3 linked regions of the Caenorhabditis elegans genome follow. The protein of the gene in region 3 purifies or fractionates together with the protein of the main gene of each other region. This does not show direct contact. Each region holds a gene or a part of one and is shown on either strand. Other genes may lie near its edges. The genes, in order: Y106G6H.14, ncs-7 and shl-1.

The links.
Region 1: the proteins of shl-1 (region 3) and Y106G6H.14 fractionate together in Caenorhabditis elegans (co-fractionation; one large-scale study listed by BioGRID). This does not show direct contact.
Region 2: the proteins of shl-1 (region 3) and ncs-7 purify together in Caenorhabditis elegans (affinity purification with western blotting, with the first as the bait; one study listed by BioGRID). This does not show direct contact.

What each region holds. Positions count from the first base shown.
Region 1 is NC_003279.8:10,471,071-10,476,212, forward strand, and holds Y106G6H.14 (Osteoclast-stimulating factor 1), read right to left. Parts: upstream 2,320-5,142; 5' UTR 2,319-2,319; coding exon 2,223-2,318; intron 2,176-2,222; coding exon 2,058-2,175; intron 1,787-2,057; coding exon 1,572-1,786; intron 1,518-1,571; coding exon 1,383-1,517; intron 1,335-1,382; coding exon 1,236-1,334; 3' UTR 1,126-1,235; downstream 1-1,125. Other genes in the region: Y106G6H.13 (Reverse transcriptase domain-containing protein), read left to right, coding at 441-857; ska-1 (SKA complex subunit 1), read right to left, coding at 2,530-2,703, 2,753-3,225, 3,280-3,364; Y106G6H.16 (Dynein light chain), read left to right, coding at 3,843-3,920, 3,994-4,098, 4,148-4,231, 4,281-4,427; row-1 (C2H2-type domain-containing protein), read right to left, coding at 4,603-4,684, 4,733-4,827, 4,871-4,978.
Region 2 is NC_003284.9:17,614,132-17,621,165, reverse strand, and holds ncs-7 (EF-hand domain-containing protein), read right to left. Parts: upstream 4,824-7,034; 5' UTR 4,481-4,823; coding exon 4,369-4,480; intron 3,167-4,368; coding exon 3,042-3,166; intron 2,613-3,041; coding exon 2,472-2,612; intron 2,400-2,471; coding exon 2,272-2,399; intron 2,217-2,271; coding exon 2,132-2,216; intron 1,837-2,131; coding exon 1,708-1,836; 3' UTR 1,545-1,707; downstream 1-1,544.
Region 3 is NC_003282.8:6,377,368-6,386,634, reverse strand, and holds shl-1 (BTB domain-containing protein), read left to right. Parts: upstream 1-2,564; 5' UTR 2,565-2,652; coding exon 2,653-2,754; intron 2,755-3,317; coding exon 3,318-3,545; intron 3,546-4,383; coding exon 4,384-4,832; intron 4,833-4,849; exon of another isoform or gene 4,850-4,870; intron 4,871-5,240; exon of another isoform or gene 5,241-5,261; intron 5,262-5,400; coding exon 5,401-5,509; intron 5,510-5,615; coding exon 5,616-5,831; intron 5,832-6,098; coding exon 6,099-6,275; intron 6,276-6,363; coding exon 6,364-6,466; intron 6,467-6,731; exon of another isoform or gene 6,732-6,752; intron 6,753-6,867; coding exon 6,868-7,060; intron 7,061-7,667; coding exon 7,668-7,749; intron 7,750-7,798; coding exon 7,799-7,876; 3' UTR 7,877-8,350; downstream 8,351-9,267. Other genes in the region: bli-6 (Nematode cuticle collagen N-terminal domain-containing protein), read right to left, coding at 8,527-9,267.

The sequences.
Region 1 (5,142 bases), on a different chromosome or scaffold from region 3:
TTTAAATATATTTTAACGTTGAAATTTGAAACAAAAGCAAAATAGTAATTATTATACATACGTGACATTCTAATTGCTTATCAATAAAACTAATCTGGCAAAAAAAATCTCCCCTCCCGTGAAGTGAAATCGAAAATCAAATTATTTCGATTTTAGTCCAACCCTAGGAACACATTTCGATTCGCATCAAGTAAGTGCTTTAACAGGAAATTCTGTGAAGGCAAGCGGTAGCTGAGATCAGTGGCAAGAAGAATTTCTTTAGAACATCCTAAAGAGCTGCTGAAACTCTTTGACTGAAATTTTGTGATGTGCTGGTAGGAGATTCTTCTAGCCACTGCTATTTTCTAACATTTATTTCTTCTTGATATTCCACTATAATCGGAATCTCCTATCTAATATTCATTTAAAAAAATGAATAAGTATTTTGCAGCTCACTCAAGATGGCATACGTCGAGAGCTTCTACATGGATGCTAGTTTGGAGAGCGACGCCGACGTTCTTCCAGCATCGGAGAGTGATATGTTTGAGGCACAATTCATTGCCGATGTCCCACTCGACGGCGACGCGATCATTCGTATCGTTGATTCACAACTCGCTTTTGAGCAACGCAACCACGTTGTGTCGGACTATTGCACCATGAAGGCCGCGGAGCTCGAGAAGAACCCGAATCAACTGACAATGAACAGCTCAGTTATGGACAATCAGCAATATTTTGCCCCGCCAAAAAGTGAATCGTCGCAATATGCATGGAACACGAATGATGTTGTCTCTTCTCATCATCAATATGCTGCTCAGAGCCCAAACATCTACACCAACGACTATCACACCAGTGAACCATCCGATTATGCCTATATATAACTTGATGGAATGAGTAAACATTTGTATTTTGGGTTTCTGTATTTACTCGTTATTCAGCCGCAAAATTAGAGAAATCTAGACTTTCGCGACGAGACCCAGCTTATCTATTTCAAGGTGGTCGTAGAATCGTTTAATTTAAGACTTCTCAATCCCTATTCACACATTAAAAAGCAAAACTACGATACTTGAATAGCATTAGTTCTGAAATAGAAAGATTAAAAGTAAAGAAAACCTCGATTCAAACGAGTATTTGAAAAAGGAGAATAGAGGGAAAAAAAAGTTTATCACAGGTTGGGCAAAGTTTCAATAAATATCGACAAGTGTTTGAGAAATAATTACAAGATGTCAAAAGGAATAAATATTGCAAATTTAATAGTCTTAATCAGCATCCGAGTCTGACAAATATTCAGCATACTCTTCTTCATTCACACGATCCTCTTTCATTGCTTTGTCTAGAAGAGCAGCGATATCAGCATCCTGGAATTATTTTTTCTATAGAAAACTTCTATAAAAAACAATATTTACTTTTGTCACATCACTCGGCAGCTTTTGATCTTGATTCCTTACAAATGGATTGGCTGACGAAGCGAGAAGAAGTCTCACACATTCCACGTGGCCTTTGTAGGCCGCTGCATGAAGAGGCGTATCACCGAGTTTGTTCTGAAAATTTAATTTTTAGAGATTCGTTACATGTGAAAGAATATTTCAACAAACCTGAACCGAAACTGCAACTTTTGGATCCTTCAACAACGTATCCACTGCTGGCGCGTGTCCACCATGTGAAGCCCAGTAAAGTGGTGTAGCTCCGGACTTATCGAGGGAGTTGACGGATACCCGCTCTCGAAGACATTCAGCCAGCATATCCATATTTCCACGTCGAGCAGCTTCATGTAGGGGATTCGGGAGCTCTTCCACATTCTCACTGATCACTGAAAAAATAAATATTGGAATTTCTAGAAATCTCGATGAACTCGGTGCAGTTTCGAATTATAAAAGAGGAGGAACGACGGTTTTGCAAAATTGAGATGCGGTTTGATGCATGGCCATTTAAAAATGATTTTGTACTAATGAACTGACGAAAAAAGTTCAAAAACAAGTAATTTAACTAAAAACTGTAAAACCATGTGAATTAATCTACGCTTCTCATCGAACCGCGCCGCAGCTTTGCAAAACATTCCTGATTGTGCTGTAAGTATTCACCATAATTAGCTGGAACCAATCCTTTTTTGCCTCCGATGCTTGCTTGGAACCAATCTTTGTTCGGCTGCTCGTCGCTGACGTACATTAGATCTCCTTCACTGAATGTCAGCTCTTGAGCCTGAATTTATTCAATAATTGGGTTGTTTTTTTCAAATTAAAGCTTACAGATCTGGCTTGAAAATCATAAAGTGCTCGATAAACTTTCACTCGTCCTGGCTTTGGAGCTGGTGGTGGTGGAGCCATTGGTCGAGCTGATGACATTCTGATAAATTTTAAAAATGTTGAAAAATTCATATTTCTAATCAGAACAATAATATTTTTAAAGTAGAATATATTCACCAAAACAAAGGTGTAAAAATTGAAGAATAAATTTTTTTGATCATTTGAAGTAGAAATCCGTTTATTAGCTATTTGACAGAGAAATTTAATACGTTGAGACCAGTTTGAAAAATGTACAAATATCGTAAGGAATTTATGGATAATAGAAAGTCAACGGTCCGCATCGTTCTTCTCGAATTCGACGAATGTGACGAAGGCACGGAATTGCTTTGGCAAATGATGGACGAAGACGGTCTTGGAGCATTGGTCGAATGTCGGTTTCTATGAAGAATAACGTTGTTGGAAGTCTCTTTCTTGCTTTCATTTCCTGAAAAATTATAGATTTATTTTCAATAAAACAAGTAAAACAAACTTACAAGTTCTCGCCAATTGTCCAAAACCTCCCTATCGCTCCTTGTCAGCTGTTTATTAGTTTTCCCCAGGATTTTGCTCTTTTTCATCAGGAAATCATCCATTTTGCTCACTATTTCATTCATCATTTCCAGCGTTAACCGGCCTAGTTGATACTTTGGAATTGTTTTGAATTCTTCATCCGTTATCTGTGGCACAATTCTGATATCATTTTCTTTCGGTTTAGACGATAATCCTTGTTCATTCGGTTCATTGGTTTCGACAAGAGCAGATGATTCTTTACTTTGAGGTACCAATTGTGATTTCACATCGACAATCGTGGAAGCTTCAACTTTGATTCCGAGAAAATCATTCAATTGACTTTTGGTGCAGTTCATACATGTTTCTTCACAGTTGTTTTCCAATTTTTGTTGATCAAAAGCTGCATCATCTAGTAACAACTTGATATTCTTCATTGTATTCAAGAGAGGGCTGATTGCTGAAAGAAGTGATAATGAAGAATGCGAGAAGTTGTGAAGAAAAGTAAACGTACTTGTTTCAAAATTGGGAATATTTTCTCGACATATGCGGAAATTTTCATCGGTCTCTTCGGTAATCCGATCAATAAACGATTCCATTCTGAAACAGGTAATGTTTTAATTTTTAATTTTTAATATGTTATGTTTTGTAGTATTAGAGATATGTTTAATGTATCAACAATTGAAATTGAATCAACGGAAAAGAGCCAAATTCGATAAAGTCTAATTTTAGGGAAAAAGGAAGCAGTGGCCGTTTCTGCTGGATTTAAGAAATAAAGAATGCAGTAGAGCAAGAAAAAAATCTGTTCCAATTTAATTAAGAAGTTATAGCTAATTAAAAAGATAAAACAATTAAATAAATAAAGACAAGACGGCAAGGAACGATGAGTCATATTCGCGCCGTTTTAATTCAGATATACTTCGAGAGGAGTACACATCCGTGGGCGATAGAGCAGCCACAGTTCGAATTTCTAGGCCACGACCATAAAAGCGAATTTTCAAATTTAGATTTTTATCTTTGTTAGAAACGTTTTTCTACAAAATAACATCATATTTATACCTAACCCAATGAAGATAAATGGAAGAAAAAGACGAATTTGATTTATTTATTGAAAAAGCTGAAGAAGTGGTTCGTCTTTTTGAAAATGGGCAGGACGTGAGTTAATTGATGCGATAACGCGTTATAACACTGAAAAATATTCAGTTTCTCTCATCTTTTAATTTTTCAGGTTCGCAACGAAGCAGAAAAATTGCTCAAAGATGCTCTTTCTGTTGACGCAGAATGTGTTCCGTCCACATGTGTAAAGCCAGATAAAATCTGCAAAATCTTAAATGTGAGTTGTTTTTATTTCAAAAGAGATAAAAAATATATTTAATTCTCAGTATCATATAAATAAAACAAGCTCCCCACCAGTTCAAAGTATTCGAATGCGCCATTTTACTCGATCTCCAACAGAAAATAAAAAAGTAGGAGTCATAAATATCTCAATTTTCTGATAAAATGATTATTTTTCAGATAATAAACACAATAAAAGTACAACCTAACTCGTCTTCATGTCTACGATGCACAGTTTTAATAATAATTTTTACCCTTCTTTGTCTCATAGCTTATCATTTCTACTTTTTGCGATTACCAACACGTTGTCCTCGGCCAACGTGGTGAATGGCTTTATAAATGTACAGCAATTTGTTCAAGACATTTGTAATTCATTCAAAATAAGCATGGAAAAGATCGAAATGTGATTCAATGGGAAAACATAATGAAGTAGAGTTTTTAACCGTGGAGAAAAATCGATACAAATAATAGTATCATAATGAGGAGATCAAGCGAGATCGAATCAGTCTTCGGTAGTGACGGCACTCGCCGTGCACTTTTCCATAATTTCCAAACTTTTGTCGTGGTTTTTAGAGAGCATTTTTCTGTAAAAAATGTATTGTATATAGAGTTAGGAAGAAGAAATTACGTACAATAGTGGTAAATCATCAATTGGCTGGTAAACAATATCTTCAAGAATTGGTAAAGGATCTCCTCTCTCCAAATGAATTTTTCGAAGTGTTGCTTCCTGAAAAAAACTTTCCAGTTTAACACGATTGTTTTTAACGTACTTCAGTTTCTGCTTCAGTGTTTGTTGGTTGTGGATATACAGCGAAAAGTTCGAGTTCTTCTTTCGGATCACTTCCCAGCCGGACAATTTCCCGTTTTCTTTCGATATCCTACAATAAAAACATTATATTTTGAAACAAGTCATATATAAGGAAGTGTAAAAATCTACAAAATGGCCCGTTTTGAAATTTTAATGTAACTTTTGACTCGAAGGCTACTGTAGAAATATAGAAAAATGATTAAATTATTTTGCCGAAAAAAAAACGTTGTAGAT
Region 2 (7,034 bases), on a different chromosome or scaffold from region 3:
GATCCCTCACGTTTCTGAGTTACAGCCGATAGAAGTGAGCTGGGTCCAAGTTGGTAAAAATCTAATTTTTCATGTTTTTGCATGTAACTCCAAAACCAGGTGTCTGATCAAAAATCTTTAAATTAAAAAATAAGTGTTTTTTAATTATTTACAGGTATTCAGTTGACCGTTGTTATATCTCATATGTGCACAAAGATATGAAAAGTAAAAGAGCAAAAAAATGCATGATCAGAAAATTTTGAAAAATATTGCCAAAAGCAATTTTATTCTTCTCGAAATCAACATGGGCGTCTAAAAACACATGTAATATTTTGATTATCAATTAGGCTATTATAATCAAAAAACCATTAGAAGTTATCTTTCAAAAAATATTTTTGAATATTTTTTCTCGATGTTTTTGAAATTTTTCCGAAATTTCCGCAACTTTTGTTTTACGATTCATATCTTTGCGCACACATGAGATATAACAAAACGGTCAACTAATAACTTGTTAATAATTGAAAAGCACTTATTTTTTGATTTAAAGATTTTTGATCAGACACCTGGTTTTGGAGTTACAGGCAATAACATGAAAAATTAGATTTTTACCAAATTGGACCCAGCTCACTTCTATCGACTGTAATTCAGAAACGTGAGGAGATCCAACGTTGCACTAAACTGACCAATTGTAGCTTATAATGTGCACATTATTGTTGTAATACATTACTTTTGTATATCTCTTATGGATTTAAAGTTAGCACCGCTCAAAAATTAAAAAGGCAATTTTGCAAGCGTTTTAGGCACTTTCAACAGATGTAGCGCTACCAATAAGCCATGCCTGAGTCTGAAAATTTTCAGTTTTATTTAACTAACTATCTAATACATCTACGCATACAAAGTTTTTGATTTCATGAGGAAATAAAAAAAATCGAAAAAAATTTTTTTTTTCGTTGTCATAGTTCGCAGTATTAAATAACCTGGAAGTTGACCGATATGGCTGATATCGTTGGGCTTGTCATTACTAACAGTCTTCTATACAACCGCAAAAAAATATCCAAGAAAAAATCAAAACAAAAAAAAAACGACAAAACTTATTGAACGGTCTAATAAATAAAACAAAAAAATGGGAACAAGAAATTATATTTTTTTCAGTTCGCCACTTTTCTCAACTAAACCACAAACTTGTTTTTTTTTCACTGCAAAATACATGATTGCCAAAAAATTAATCTGGTCGTTGCCGGCTTGAAAGGTTAAGAATTTTATGCTTACAAACATTTCCTGCCATTTTCCAGATCCACTTCTATTTCTTATTAACTTAATCTAAAAATAAATCCCACTAGAATGATTTTCAGTTTCACAAAAAGTTATCCTTTTGTAAACGTAGCCAAAAAGCTATTTCCAATACATTTTTCGTGTATAATAGTATCCAAAATAGATATTGAATTGAAATTTGTTTTTTTTTAAATATAAGCCCACCATTTCCAATAGGGAAGTTTAACTTTGGGAGTAGAAAAATTTCGATAACAGTGATGTTAAAATTTTGATGTTTTCCGGCTACATACACTAACTTTTGAACTTTTACTTTTCGATAGGCAATATTCACAATTTCATAGAAATGATTATGAGATTCACAACGAAGGAGAAGGAAAGAGGTTTGGTAATGTTGCTGATAGATAATAAGGAAACGTGGGTGATAACAAAAAAATACAAACAAAATATCAGGAAAGGCTAGATATTTAATAATCCGCTTGAGAATGAGCCAAACAACTCCATCGATGCTAAAATGTCTGAATCGGAACGGCATCGTTGAAGAAATTCGGCTTTGGAAACTTTTCCGTTATTTGCAATGTTGAGGTTCTAAAAAAAGTCAAAAGTTTGTTAGGTATTACAATTTTTTAGCATGTTCCTAAGTTTTTGAAAAAACAGCAAGTGTAGAAACACATCCTTTTCACCGTGGAATTCCGAATTGCCCATTTCAAGCCCAACCCAGTACACACAACAAAGTGTTTCGTTTTTTTTCAATGTATATCAATTTTCAACTTTCAAGAAGTAACTATAAGCCTAATGTATCTATAATAAAAATTCTTAACATCCCATTTTCTCTCTCATTCATGTTGATCAGAAACATTTCAAGTTCCGTCATAAACATTACCTTGAACACAATTTTAACATGTTGCCGACATATGGTCGCAAGAACAGCTGGCTTCAGTGACGAGTCCATCATCTGATACATCGATCTGAGGAAACAATGCACTTTTGCACACAAATAAGAGAAAGGAAATAAAAACCCACTTCACAACATGGAAAATCTCGTTGTAAGCTAGGAAACCGCATCGATTGGTGTCATAGAGAGTGAATATCCAGTCGAGTCGTTCGTCAAGTGTCCCTTTTGCAATTTTGGAGTAGTTTGTGATGAAATCCTTTAAAGTATATGTTCGCTTTTTTTAAAAGTACTTGTTAAAACTGTGAATAAGACTCCGAAACAAACATACCAAAAAAGTCACAGTACCCACTCGGTTTTGATCAATATTTTTGAAGACAAGTTCCGCGTAACCTTTTGAGTCTCCATTTGGAAATATACTCGCATAAATTAACTGAAATTGCTCTAAGTCGACAGTTCCAATTGGCCATAACTGCAAAAAATGGAAATAAAAATCTCAGTCACAACTTTTCAAATTATCAGTTTCAGAAACTAGGTGTATTCAATATTTTTTGAACCCATATTTAGTAAAAAAAAAATTTCCCGATATTATTCACACCAAAACTACAATTCGAAGTAAACTTCGAAGGACTATCAAACTTTAATGTATGGTCATTGTGACGCGAGCAGTAAAAGCTTTTAGTACAGCTATGAATTTTTGAGCATTATGACATGAAACTTTGAAATCGAAAGTGCGCATATGGAAAACTGGGAAAATACAAAGAAAGTGAAACTATTGAAAACGGATGTTTAAAATTGGCCAATACGCTGTTTTCTCAAAACAAATATTTTTTGCTCTACATCAGAAGTGAATAGTTGATTTTATACAAATTGACAAATTCGATCCTATTTTCATACTCACCTCCTTGAACGATCTATACAATTGTTGAATCTCCCGTTTGGAAAAATTAGTGATTTCAATCAAGTAATCGATGCTTGGCGGTGTTTGCCTTTCTATTGCAGGCTGTGTGTCCAATTCTTCTTCCACTGCAAAACATTTGTTTTGTTTTCTTTATTTCATTCAGTAGTAAATTATGGAACAGTGAGACTATATTCTTATGTTCCTGTCTGAAAAAAAGCCGAATTAAAAACCATTCGTCAATAAACTTTCCAATTTAGACAACTTTTTAACCGATGTGATTTGTGAAAAATGCACCCATTGTCAGTTTAAGTATTATTTTTTGTTATAAAAGAAACCGTGCGTAAATATATACATTTAGTCAATTGAAGCTGATTTTTTTCACATACTTCAAATGTGCAAATTCTAAAGGTTTAGATTAGATGTAATGTCTTTATATACATACTTATAAAGACAGAATTTCTTAACTAGATTTTTCAAAATAAAAATTTCATGGTGATTCCAATTGGTTCATTGGCGGGAACATAATTTTATTCATTTAACAACTCATTCAGCTCGTTTCGATTGTATTTGTGCTTATTTTTTCAATATTTGTATGTACATCTTTAGTCGGTAGGTAACCAACAAAACAACAATGCATTTAAATATACATACAACGTAACCTACCAGAATACAAACATTAAAGAAGTTCTTATGTTTAAACCAATTCCCGGTCGCTGTAGTATATACATACAAGCGGTTGAAAATCAGGGTTTTTGCCATATTTAGCCAATAAATCTTTTGATCACGCATATCTTTCTTCATAATGAACATATGAATAAATTAATTGCTTAACAGAATAATGGACTGGTAAACCCATTTTATTTGTAAAACTGGCAAAAGTGTGAACTAACTCTAGGTCGCATTTATTTTTCAAGTCTTGCTTATGGCGGCTCAAGATGAAGCATACTCTCGAAATTTATCAATCGATCCTTGGACTTTTTTGTTCCGCAGAGGCTGGCGGAGTTTACAAGCGTACGACGTTGTTCCACTTTTAAATGTTTAAAGCTTTATAAATGAAACATAGATGAACATTCCGAATGCTAAATGCAAAAAGAATCAGCAAAAAGGCTCACAGCCCCGTCATTTTCTGCCAAAAAACGCCGTTGAAGGATCGATTGCCAAATTTTAGTAGTAACGTTTTTGGTTGATTTCTCGCCATCACTAACTGTTGTTAACAACCCTAAAGTCAAAGACAACCGTAACACAAAAAACCAAGGAAAGATTTTAGCAAGCATTATTTAATTACGCTTACCAAAAAAAAATGTTTTTTAAAGAGGCCGAAACTTACTCTCAGCCCGTCCCGTCTTCCCGCTTATAAAAAGTGCAGCAGGTGGAACACTGATCGCTAACGGGATCAACGCTTGATGCAGTGGTCTGGTACATGAGGCGGTGCCGATCATAATCGAAACTTTACTTGATAAATGAACGACAGGATGAAGAATAAGTGGAGTAGAGAGTAGAGATGTAAGACTAACGAAATTTGAAAAGCTTATGGGTTTGGTTCGAGAGAAGAAGAGAAGAACAATAAAACGAAAATGTTGAGTGGAGTCTAGAGTCTAAGTTAACACAAAAAATGAAGGGGATGGAGGGGAAGGAAGCTGTCGAACGAGAAGAAGACTAAGTCTGGTGCCTAGTGGCGATGGTCGGGGAGGGAGTAAACGCCATCGTCACTCTTCACATTTCATAGACATTGGAAATTCATCTCAGTGACTTGAATGAGATGTCGTAGCAGCGGGGGGACCCCCTTGCTCAACTGAATCACCACTACACCATGTCATTGTGTCGCCGACTATTGTTCCAGAGCTTCGCTCTCTCACCCCTTCATTATGTTGGAAACGGAATCGTAGTGGTTTTCTAGTGGTGGAAAATGACTTTTTTGGAAAAAGAAGAAAATTGAAATCGGAAAAATTGAATGTGTCTTCGAACAAATTTTGTTAAAACTTAAATACTGAGATACACTGACAATAGTAAAAATGTGGCCTGAAATCTCAATATTAAAGGTGTTGCGAATAAGTATTGTCCGTCAACAACTGGGTTTCGTATTATAATGCTTAGCCTTGAGGTGGACGGGCGCCACGCCCACTTCATGGTCGAACTTATGTGGTACGACGCGGAGCCTGGAACTTGTCGGCCCATGCTTATCAATCACACATCAGTATTTTGCGGAAATCTACGTGTTTGTCTGAATTATTAACGGGACATTTCACGTATAATAAAAAATATTTTGAAATACTTGGTTCGACGTAATTAATTGTGTACCAATACTTTCTATACAATAAATTTGATACATTCAATTTGTGTACAAAGAGTACTACTCTATTTACTATATCCTATAAAAAAGTGATTCGGACCGTCAGAAAACTTCTTACTTTTGTAAAAAAAACATTTTCGATTTCAACTAAATGGAATAAGCCAAAAATAAAAGTTGCCGAAAATTTGCCGAGTGCATAATGTATTCAATTCCGGCATATTCGGCGATTTTCAAAAATTTTAGCATGGTCACTTCTCTATTTCAGCCTAATTTGCTAAGAAACGGTTTAAATTTTGAGTTTTATACATTTCTCACATTTCCATTTAAAAATAAGTCTTTAAAAAATGAACCAACAAATGGGCGGAGGTTTTTATTTTGAAAAATATATTTGAGGAATACAAGATCCAGCATTCATATTTGTAGTTATAGGGTGGAAGTACATTTCTCAATTTTTGAAATATTTGATCACAGGTACAAACTCCTGAGATGAGGTAGAAATGAAAAAATTGTTTTTTAATGTAGTCTTTAAAGGCGGACTAGCGAAATCTGGGAAATATTTTTAAATGACTCCAAGTTTTTCCCTGATTCCGAATATCTATGTGAAAAATTCAAAAAAATTCCCTGATTTTATATTTGAGCTTGAAATCGCGATTTTCATTTGCGTCCCCATGAGCTTTTTTAAATCCGCGCCGAAATAAATTATCCTTGGAGCGCGTTTGCCTCATTTAGTTGTCTCCATATATTTTTACGTATTGCAGTTTTTCAGCTATTTTAAATCATTTTTGTCGTATATTATCGGATTTACTTTTTTAAAAATATATTGTTTCGTGCCATTTGAACATTTTATTCGCATAAAAATGAATGAAAATAGCTGACAAACTGAAAGAAGTAAAAATATATGAAGAAAATCAAATGAGGCAAACGCGCTCCAAGGATAATTTATTTCGGCGCGCATTTGAAAAATCTCGTGTGTGCACAAATAAAAATCGCGATTTCAAGCTCAAATATAATAAAGTCAAAGAAATTTTTTTTTTGAATTATTTCACATAGATATACGGAATCAGGGGATTTAAACAAGATTAAATGTTCTCTTGAAAAAAGTTCTGCCAATACTAAGGAAAAAGTGAGTATTCGTTCGTTTTCCCAGCCAAAAAAGAAATTAAATTGCTATCCGTGCATATTTCCATGGTGATGTCTAACTTTTATTTAACTTGTTCTCTGAAAACTTTGGAAAAACAACTCACCCAAACTGAAGTATTCAAACGGATCTTCTGGTGCTTTTATGACCATTGTCTGCAACAATATACACGTCATTGTGCAAAGAATAAATAAAAAATCAACAAGAAGCTTTCAAAAATGACTCAAAGAAATGCCATTCAAGGTGACTATGCCCCCCCAATAAAGTAATAAAGATGCCCATGTCATAGTCGGGGGCGGCGGCGGGACCACCTCAAGCTCTCGTTTTCTACAAATATTTTGATGGTTGAGGGACTGACCCCACTACGTTGCAGCCATGCATATCAGAGGAGCATCGTGTTTTGTTTCGATGAAAGCGGAACGCTAATGGTTGAAAGGAAATGGAAGAACAAGAATTGGTCATAAATGTGATGAATGATGCGAGAAGAGTTGGATGTGATAAGTTTGAAAAATTGTTGGAATAGCTGACAACAAGCTGCAAACAAATTTAGGCGGGCACCATACTT
Region 3 (9,267 bases):
ATATGCCTATTTAATTTACTGTTTCTTGAGAAATGTATACAGTCATTATTTCTAGCGATACTCACAATTTTATTGCATTTCCTTGTCTAGCTTCTAGTTTTAATAAATTGATTGCATAAATATTGGATATACATAAAAAGTAAATAATACAAAATCTGACGACTTGACACAATAAGACTTCGTGAAACAGTTAAAATTTGATAAATTCTAAGGAACCCCTATGATAGATAAACAACATCATGTTTTATATGCGTTTTGATACACTCAAAATGCTAAAACTGCTGGGTGCCCTAATTTTTCAGGCCTAAATTTTGAAATCTGTGCAAACACGCCACACAGTTTCATCATATTGAGTGTATGTTCCTAGAAAACTTTCAATGAGTTTATTGATTCCGGAAAATGAGAATTGCCCAAGCAAAATCTACCCCGCAAACACAAAACAAATTATTTTAAAAATTCGGAAGACTAGGCGATAGGCAGGCAGGCTCGCCTAGCCCAAATTTTACTACATAAAGTACGCCTCCGCATTTCAAATGTGGAAATCGTAACAGTTAATAGCACTATTAACGTATTTTAAGAGATTACCGTTTCACAACCATTTGAAATGATTCTACAAAACTCGTTACATACTGCATTAGTGTTTAAAACAGTGAGAACTACAGTTAGAAACAATGTATCCACAAGTGACAGTCCACTTTCAAAATATTAACGTTTCACAACTATTATGAATAGTTTTTTAAAATAGTTTTTTAATCGGTACGTATTATAGTTATTTTGATCAACTAGTTCATTCTTGATTATTCTTTCCTCTTTTTTTAAATCCAATTTAACCGAAAAAAGCACAAAAAAAATGAGGAGAGCCAGTCAACTACTGCCAAAGCAAGCATTTTTAAAGTCTAAATTAAAATTTCAACAAATCAAGTAAACAAGAAAAATTGGGTTAGGCACGCAAAATTATCCACGGGACTATCAAACACCATGCTTCACCCAAATATGTAGAAATTAGGCGTTAGGCAGGTAGGCAATGGTGTTCTTTCCTAACATGAAGTTTAATTTGACTAATTGAAGTACACATAATCAACCTTCAAAAAACTTTTCAAAAAGTTCAAAAATTTTCAAAAACAATTAAAAACCCTCCAAAACGTGATTTCAGATGAACTTCAACTTGTACTTTTTCTAAACAATTCTTCAACTTTTCCGTAACGTGCCTTTTCTTTTTTCAGCTTATTTTGCTTATTCTTTTCTTCTCTCTTTATCCAATTCAACCGAAATAAGCACAAAAAATCGAGGAAAGCAAGTCATCTCCTCTCAGGCAAAAATTGAATATCGAGTTTCATTTTCTCTCTCTCTCTCTTTCTTTTTCTTTTTTTTCTAGTCTGAAGATGTCTTCAGAAGAGGTCGACTTTTCCAATTTTGTCTATCGTTTTCTCTTTCTTTTCCTGGCATCAAGGAGCCCGCGAGCCTTTAGAGAAGAGGGCTCTTTACACACAAAATTGGATAAAATTGAAAAAGAAGAGGAAAAGTGTGAAACTGGAAATGTAACACTTCTTCCTTCCCTCCAGTTCTTTTCTCTCCTTTTCTTTCCTTCACATTTTCTTTTGTCCCACGGCTTCTTGCTTCTCGAACCGATCTCGACGTCGTCTCGCGTCGTTTACGGGTAATTTGAGCCCACACGTCGTCACCCGTTTGGAGCTCTGCGCCAAGGAAACCATCAAAATTGGAGTGGGAAAGAACCTTATGTTTTTGCAAAACGACAAAAAGTTTAAAGTTGGCTGCTGTTTCTAAAAACGTTTTTTTTTGAAACAAGTGCACTTTTGCAGTTTTTTGTGACGTGCAAGCCTTCTAGACTTCACTTTTGGCTTGAGACCACTATTCAGCTATATAGGTTATGTATTCTGAGAAAAAAACATAGTTTTTTTTGTTGTTAGGTCAGAGTTACCGTAGTTGATGTATTGCAAATGTTTGCTTAAAACAAATTATTGATTTGAAAATCTTGATTTTGAAATTGAAAATTTTCCTGTGATTTTTAAGTGAAACCGTAAGTTATATATTTTTTGGCATAGCAAACTAAAATTTCCGTTTCACAGTCATTTGAAATGATTCTACAAATTTCAACATATACTACATATGGCTCCATACTTTAAAATTCGTAATTTCTAAAAATATTTCTGAATTATCTTGAACTCGAAAACTTAGTCATCAGCCCTTTGTGTCTCCAATTTCTTTCCAGAATGTAACATTTCTGAAACCCCGGTTTTCCAATGTACCCGCATATCTCACGTCGACCGACCTACCTATGCGCCTGTATTTTTATGATATGTTATTATCCCAAAACACATACAGACTTACCCTTTTTTATTTCGATTAATTTATTTCAAACTTCAAACGAAAGCTCGATTATTTAATTTTCAAGCAACTGCTGTTGTAGACCACTTGAAATATAAGTTTTCAAAAAAATCAAACTTTCAAATTCTTCAATATATTTCCAATTCCCATAAATGATTTCTTTTCTTTTCATTAATTCGCTTCAACTTTCAAAATTATTTTCATAACTCCTGCTTTACAGCGTACCCAGCAAAATAGAAAAAATTTTCCTGAAAACGACGTCATCAGGAAAAGTGTTCAGAATCCGTCGTCGTTGTCTTCTTCAGAATGGCTTCGGTGGCGGCGTGGCTGCCGTTCGCGAGAGCCGCCGCTATCGGATGGGTTCCCATTTCGAGACAGCCCATGCCACAGGCCCCAGTTGCAATACAGGTTAGGTTTGGTGGGAATAATTTTCTAAATTTAAATATAAAGTAGTCCAAATTTGATCTGAAAAAATTGCGCCAAATATTTATTTCCCGATGTTTTTTTACACTGTGATATTTCTAAAAATTTTTGTGTGACGCCACACATCTTCATTTTTAATGAGAGACACTTAGGCAGCATTCTGTGTTTCTATTCGGTCATTTATAGACACTATAAAACAGTGGAAATTTCCACGTTCTCACAATTAGGAATTCTTGTTCGCGGAAAAGGTTCAAACATCAAAAAATACGGAATTCTTTCATAAATTCTTGTTCACACACGTGTTAGGTGGTCGATGTCTTTTGAAAATTTGGAAATTTGATACGAGTGTCATATGCAATGAGAGATTAGATCCTCTTTTTAGTTCCAGGATCCGTAGTGAGAGGGAAACTAAATATACATTTTGAACTTTGGATATGCAAAATTTTTACTGTTTCATTTATTTGGCAGATTCCTCTTTTTCATGAACTAATTTTTTGTGTTGCCTGTAGATCTCTATATGTTCACAAGCTCTCAATGTGATATTTCAGGCCAAAGACCTCGCGGTTGATCATGTCTCTGACGAAAAACTAGCAATCAACATATCAGGACGAAGGTTCGAAACGTGGAAGAACACGTTGGAAAAGTTCCCAGAGACTCTATTGGGGTCAAATGAAAAAGAGTTCTTTTATGATGAAGACACTGGGGAATACTTTTTCGATAGGGATCCGGACATATTCCGACACATTCTCACATTTTATAGAACGGGAAAATTGCATGTGAGTTGTTTGTTTTTGTTGTTTGAGCCAGTTTGAGACAAAAAATTGCAAGCATTAAAAATTAATGTTTTTTGAAACAGTTTTTTTAAAAATAAACTCTCTTCAACTTTCTAAACTTCCGCTGAAAATGTTCTTAAAATGTAGAATCATGCTTTGACATTTTTTCTATAAAAAATCAAATTTTAACCCATTCACATAGGCGCTAATGTCCCCGTCTACCAACAAAGCAGCATAGACCTGTCTCGAGCCTACAGACAAACCGCAGGCGGGCAGCAGGCAGGCGTTAAAATTAAAAATATCTGCCTACAAACTTACGCATTTGTTTTGCAATTTTTTTTTGGAAATATACAGAATTCAATTGATTGTAAAATAGATGCAATTTTTATTCAGAAAAATATTAAATCTTTTGAGCAATGCTTTTTGAGAATTTGGAGCATCGCCGGAGAATATTTTAAATTAATTATGCCTAATGGTGCTTAAATGGCCTAATAATGTAGTAAATCCTTTATAAATTCAATTTTTTTTAAAATTTTATTCAAAAGTGACGATTCCTCATTTTTTATTTATTTTAATAATGCGTTAATAAGTTTTACTCAAACACTGTATGAGTATGAACTTGTAAGACTGCTAGATATTTCTCAAAGGAAACGGAGTAATATTTTTCGAAAATAAATTTTAATTTCAAAATAAATTTTATTTTGTATTATAATTTTCAATATTATTTTTTAATAAAAAAAATCTTTGAAAAATTTAAGATTTTCGTTTGAGTATGTGGTGACTTGTTGAAATCTATTAAAATGCGCCACTTTCCATTTTTCCCAGAAATCCATATTTTCAGTATCCCCGTCATGAATGTCTTGTTGCATACGACGAAGAGCTCAGTTTCTTTGGAATAATGCCTGATTTGATATCAGATTGTTGCTATGAAGACTATAAAGATAAAAAACGAGAAAATCAAGAAAGATTACAAGAAGAACGTGTAGAAAATGCGGATATATCAACATTAAAATTGTCTCTTAAAGAGAAAATGTGGGCGGCATTCGAGAATCCGCACACAACATCAATAGCACTTGTATTTTATTATGTCATTGGATTTTTTATTGCTGTATCAGTGATGTGTAATATAGTGGAAACAATACCTTGTGGGTATGAGGATAATGTGTCTGTGACGTGTGGAGAAGCCTATGAAGAGCAATTCTTTGTTATCGATACAGCGTGTGTTATCATTTTTACGATTGAGTACTTTTTACGGTTGATTTCTGCGCCGGACCGAATCAAATTTATGAGGTACGTTTCTTTTAATATCAATATGTAAACTTCTCACACTAATAAGTTAAATATTCACTGATTTTATCAAACTCATTTGAAACAGCAATAAAATTTTGAATTTTCTAATTATCCAATTTTGACGCTTTTTGATTACCTATCGGCTTTAGAGACAATTTAATCAACCAATTATTTAATACAAAAATAAATTAGCAAAACGCAATTAGGAATAATAATCAAATAAAAACGAATTACCCAATGCTATGGGAAAGTTCGCGAAATTCAAGATTTGAGCTAAAATAATCGTAATTCTTTTCAAAATCTTGTGCCGCCAAAAAAAAATTGGAAAATTTTTTGAGAAGTCTCATTACAAAATTCAACCATTTCAGTATGACCCTCTAGCCCGTCTTTAATGCATTTTTATGATTTCAAAAGTTTTGTTCAAAATTATCAGTTCAAAAATATAGAGATGTTTCTCATAACAATCATGAAACTGTAAAATAATTAAGGACACATTTGTCAAAATTGGATAACATGTTATTTATTCGTCCTTATTTTTTTAACCATTTAAATGGTTTTCTTTTTTCAGGTCAATAATGAGTGTAATCGATGTGATTGCCATAATGCCTTACTACGTTAGTTTGGTACTAACTGACAATAAGGATGTATCCGGCTTGTTTGTCACTTTAAGAGTTTTCGTAAGTTTTTTCTTTTGTTAATCCTTAAATTGAATATCCAAATATTTTTTCGAACATTCTGATAAAAATCATTAATTCTTTGATCAAATCCTTCTAAAATTTACAGCGTGTCTTCCGAATATTCAAATTCTCACGACATTCCCAAGGTCTTCGAATTCTGGGTTACACTCTTAAATCGTGTGCAAGTGAACTTGGATTCCTTGTATTTTCACTGGCAATGGCAATTATCATATTTGCCACTATTATGTATTATGCGGAGAAAAAGGTCGACGCGACGAGATTTACCTCGATTCCGTCAGCTTTCTGGTATACAATTGTGACTGTGAGTTTTTCTTTGTAAAATTAAGAAACGGGGTTGAAATTTTGATTTTTACGTTAAATACTCTCCATAAAACCTTCAACGTTTTGCAAATACCTTATCCCAAATGCACTAGGAAAATGTAAATTTTAAAGTTAATATTTGCATTGGAAAAATTAAAAATTAAAATATTTTTTTTTTAATTATACAAATCACTGAAGACTAAAGGTGAAACCTATTCATACAACACAGTCATTGTTTTTCATAATAAAAAATTAATTTTTCTTTCAGCTAACAACTCTTGGATACGGAGACATGGTTCCATCAACAATAATGGGTAAAATAGTTGGAGGAGTATGCTCACTGTCTGGAGTGTTGGTTATTGCTCTTCCAGTTCCAGTTATTGTCAGCAATTTCTCTCGAATTTATCATCAAAATCAGAGAGCTGACAAGAGAAAAGCACAGAAGGTATGGTTTTTCGTTCAGTTGTAAAACCTTTTTAAACACTTAGTGATTTTTTTGCAAATTTGTTGGATTAAATTTAATCAATTTTCAGAAAGCCCGTCTTGCTAGAATTCGGATCGTTAAAAACGCGTCTGGACTAGCATTATTCAATAAGAAGAGAGCTCATGAAGCTCGGATGCTAGCATTTGAACAGGGTAAGTTGGTTTTTTTTTTCATTAGAACATTTCGTATTGCCGGCTTAAGTTAGTTATTATTGAGTTGTCACAAAAATATTTAACTTTGGAAATATAGAAAAGTATTCCATTTTGTTTTTCGGTCTCTTGGCATTTCTGTTGGCTCAAAAAAAGCAAATATAAAACATTAAAATTAAAAATTAATAAAAACAGTTCGTGATTCCGCTTGCTCAAGAGGGCACAAATTTTGAATCCGGTATAAAAAACAGATTCTGTGGTTTTTTTTTATTCCGTTTTTTTATATTTAATGTTTTAGGTTTTCGGTTACTTAATTTATTAGCAATGTGAAACATTAAAAAAAAATTATGTGTACAAAATTCTAGATTATAATTGAGATAACTCTAAAAAGTGCATTTTTGCAGGTCATCTCTCTTTCGATGCTCTCCGAGACGAAGATATCTTCGAAATCCAACATCATCATCTTCTTCAGTGTCTAGAAAAAGCGACGGAACGTGAATTTGTTGAATCAGAAGTGATGTTTGAAGGTGGAAGAAATACTCCTCCGCCCAGTGAAACAGCTTCATTGAAAGGAAAAACAAAGCGTAAAAGGCGATTGTGAGTTTTTGATTTTCAATCCTTTGAAGATTTATTAGTCTCTGGATTTCAGGGTAAAAAAATAAGAAAAAATTTTATACTATTCATCAATAAAATAAATTATCATCAAAAAAATTCACTGATGCTTTCTTTTCGTTAATGCATTTAAAATGGAAAATAATCATGAATGAAAATGAAAACTGTAGAAAATATTGTTGCGTTTTAAAATCCAAAATTCAAAAATATGCCTCTGCAACCCTGGCTAAGATGTCTGCTTGAATTCCCACCAAACATAGAACAAGGATATTAGGCAGCGTTGAAATACCATGTTTTCAAAAATTGTAGTTTCAATTATTTCTTGAATTTTTTTGAGTTTCTTCTTTGTCAGCAATATTTTGAGTATTTTAAATTAGAACCCCATTCGAAAAGTGAGTGTACCACGAAATGGTCTCGTTGGTGCAACTTTAGAGGGAATTCAAATAGCAAAATTGACAAAAGTGGAAAAACCTTAAATTCTTGATGTTGGATTTACTTCTTATTTTTGTCATTTTTCCTTGGTGATATTTTTGATTTTTGGATCACAATTTTGAGTTAAAACAACAAATCTCCTGAAATTTATTTTTTTTAGATGCTGTGTTTCAAAAGAAAATGAAGAAATGGAAGAGTTGGATCGAGAGACTCGTGTAACATTCAATCAGAATATGGATCAGGTATAAACTAACACCAGTTATTTGTTGAAAATTATATTATTAATTTCAGATTTGTGAATTACCAAAACCTGATGAAATGGAACTCAATCATCGAAATAATGACAAAATTTGCGTATCGCAACTGTAATCTACTTCTTTATTTTATTTTTTTAAAATGATTTCTAAAAATCATTTTCTATAGAAAATTTCTCTCATTGCTCTACCGGTTCCGTCTTTCTAGAAGCTAGTTGTTCTTTTACAAAAGTTTTCTGAAATCATCCCTCCCAACTATTCGGTTTCCCCAATCTCTCATCAACGATGCAATTTTGTTTTTTTCTGTAATTTTTACTTTTTCAAGTTAGAAACAAATATATTTCCATTGAACCCGTTTCCCGAAAAACTTCATATCGCTCTTTTTCTTTTTCAGTTCGAGGTGACTTTTCTCTAAATTTTCCCCGCTACTAGGAGCCTCTCCGATGATCTGCCCATTGGTGGCAGATGTCTTTCATTTTTTTTTTGATTTTTCAGATGGAAATATAAAATTGAAGTAAAATTAACTTTTTATGTGCAGTTTTTTTTTTTTCAATTTTCCAGGTCTGTCGATAAAGTTTTATTTATTTTCTAATTTTAGAAAACCACAAAGGGAATTACTTTTTTTTAACTTAGTGAGCTGGTTCATTTGTATCAGCTCATTGCTGAAAAAATGTAACTGTACAACATTCCGCTTCATTCCAATTGCATTTTAAACTACAAAAAACTTTATAAACAGATACATAAAATAATGCAATTATCAACAGTTTATCGTCGGGTTCCGTCCTCAAAGAAGATTCCTCCATCGATAGCACAATACTTTGGACAGATTCCCTTCTCTCCAACACTTCCTGCTTGTCCGGCTTGTCCAGCTGGTCCTGGATTTCCATCAGATCCTGGTTGTCCTGGTTGTCCAGATGGCCCCTTTGGTCCTGGTTGACCTGGTTGACCATTTTGTCCTGGAGTTCCTGGTTGTCCAGGTGGTCCTTGTGGTCCAGCCTCTCCTGGTGCACCTGGTTCTCCTGGAACAAGTGGCTCAGATGGAGCATCTTGACCTGGGTTCCCATCTTGCCCTGGTGCTCCTGGTTGTCCATTGACTCCTGGTGGTCCCTTTGGTCCTGGTTGACCTGGTTGTCCATCTTGTCCTGGACCTCCTGGCTGTCCATCAAGTCCAGCATCTCCAGCTGGTCCTGGTGGTCCTTGAACTCCTGGTGGTCCTTGTGGACACGGTTTGCATGGTGGTGGGGTAATTGGGTCACATGGAGCTTGTGGTGGACGTCCTGGATTTCCAGGAAGTCCAGCTACTCCAGGCTTTCCTGGACGACCTGGCTTTCCTGGGGTACCGACGGGTCCAGCTGGACCTGGAAGACAGCATCCAGAGCAGGATCCTCCAGCGGCCCCAGCAGATCCAGCGGCACCAGAATCTCCGTAAGAAGCTTGACGGGCGGTACGGTTGGAACGGATCGAGGAGACCTCGTTGAGAATGTCTTTAGCAGAACCCTTACAGTA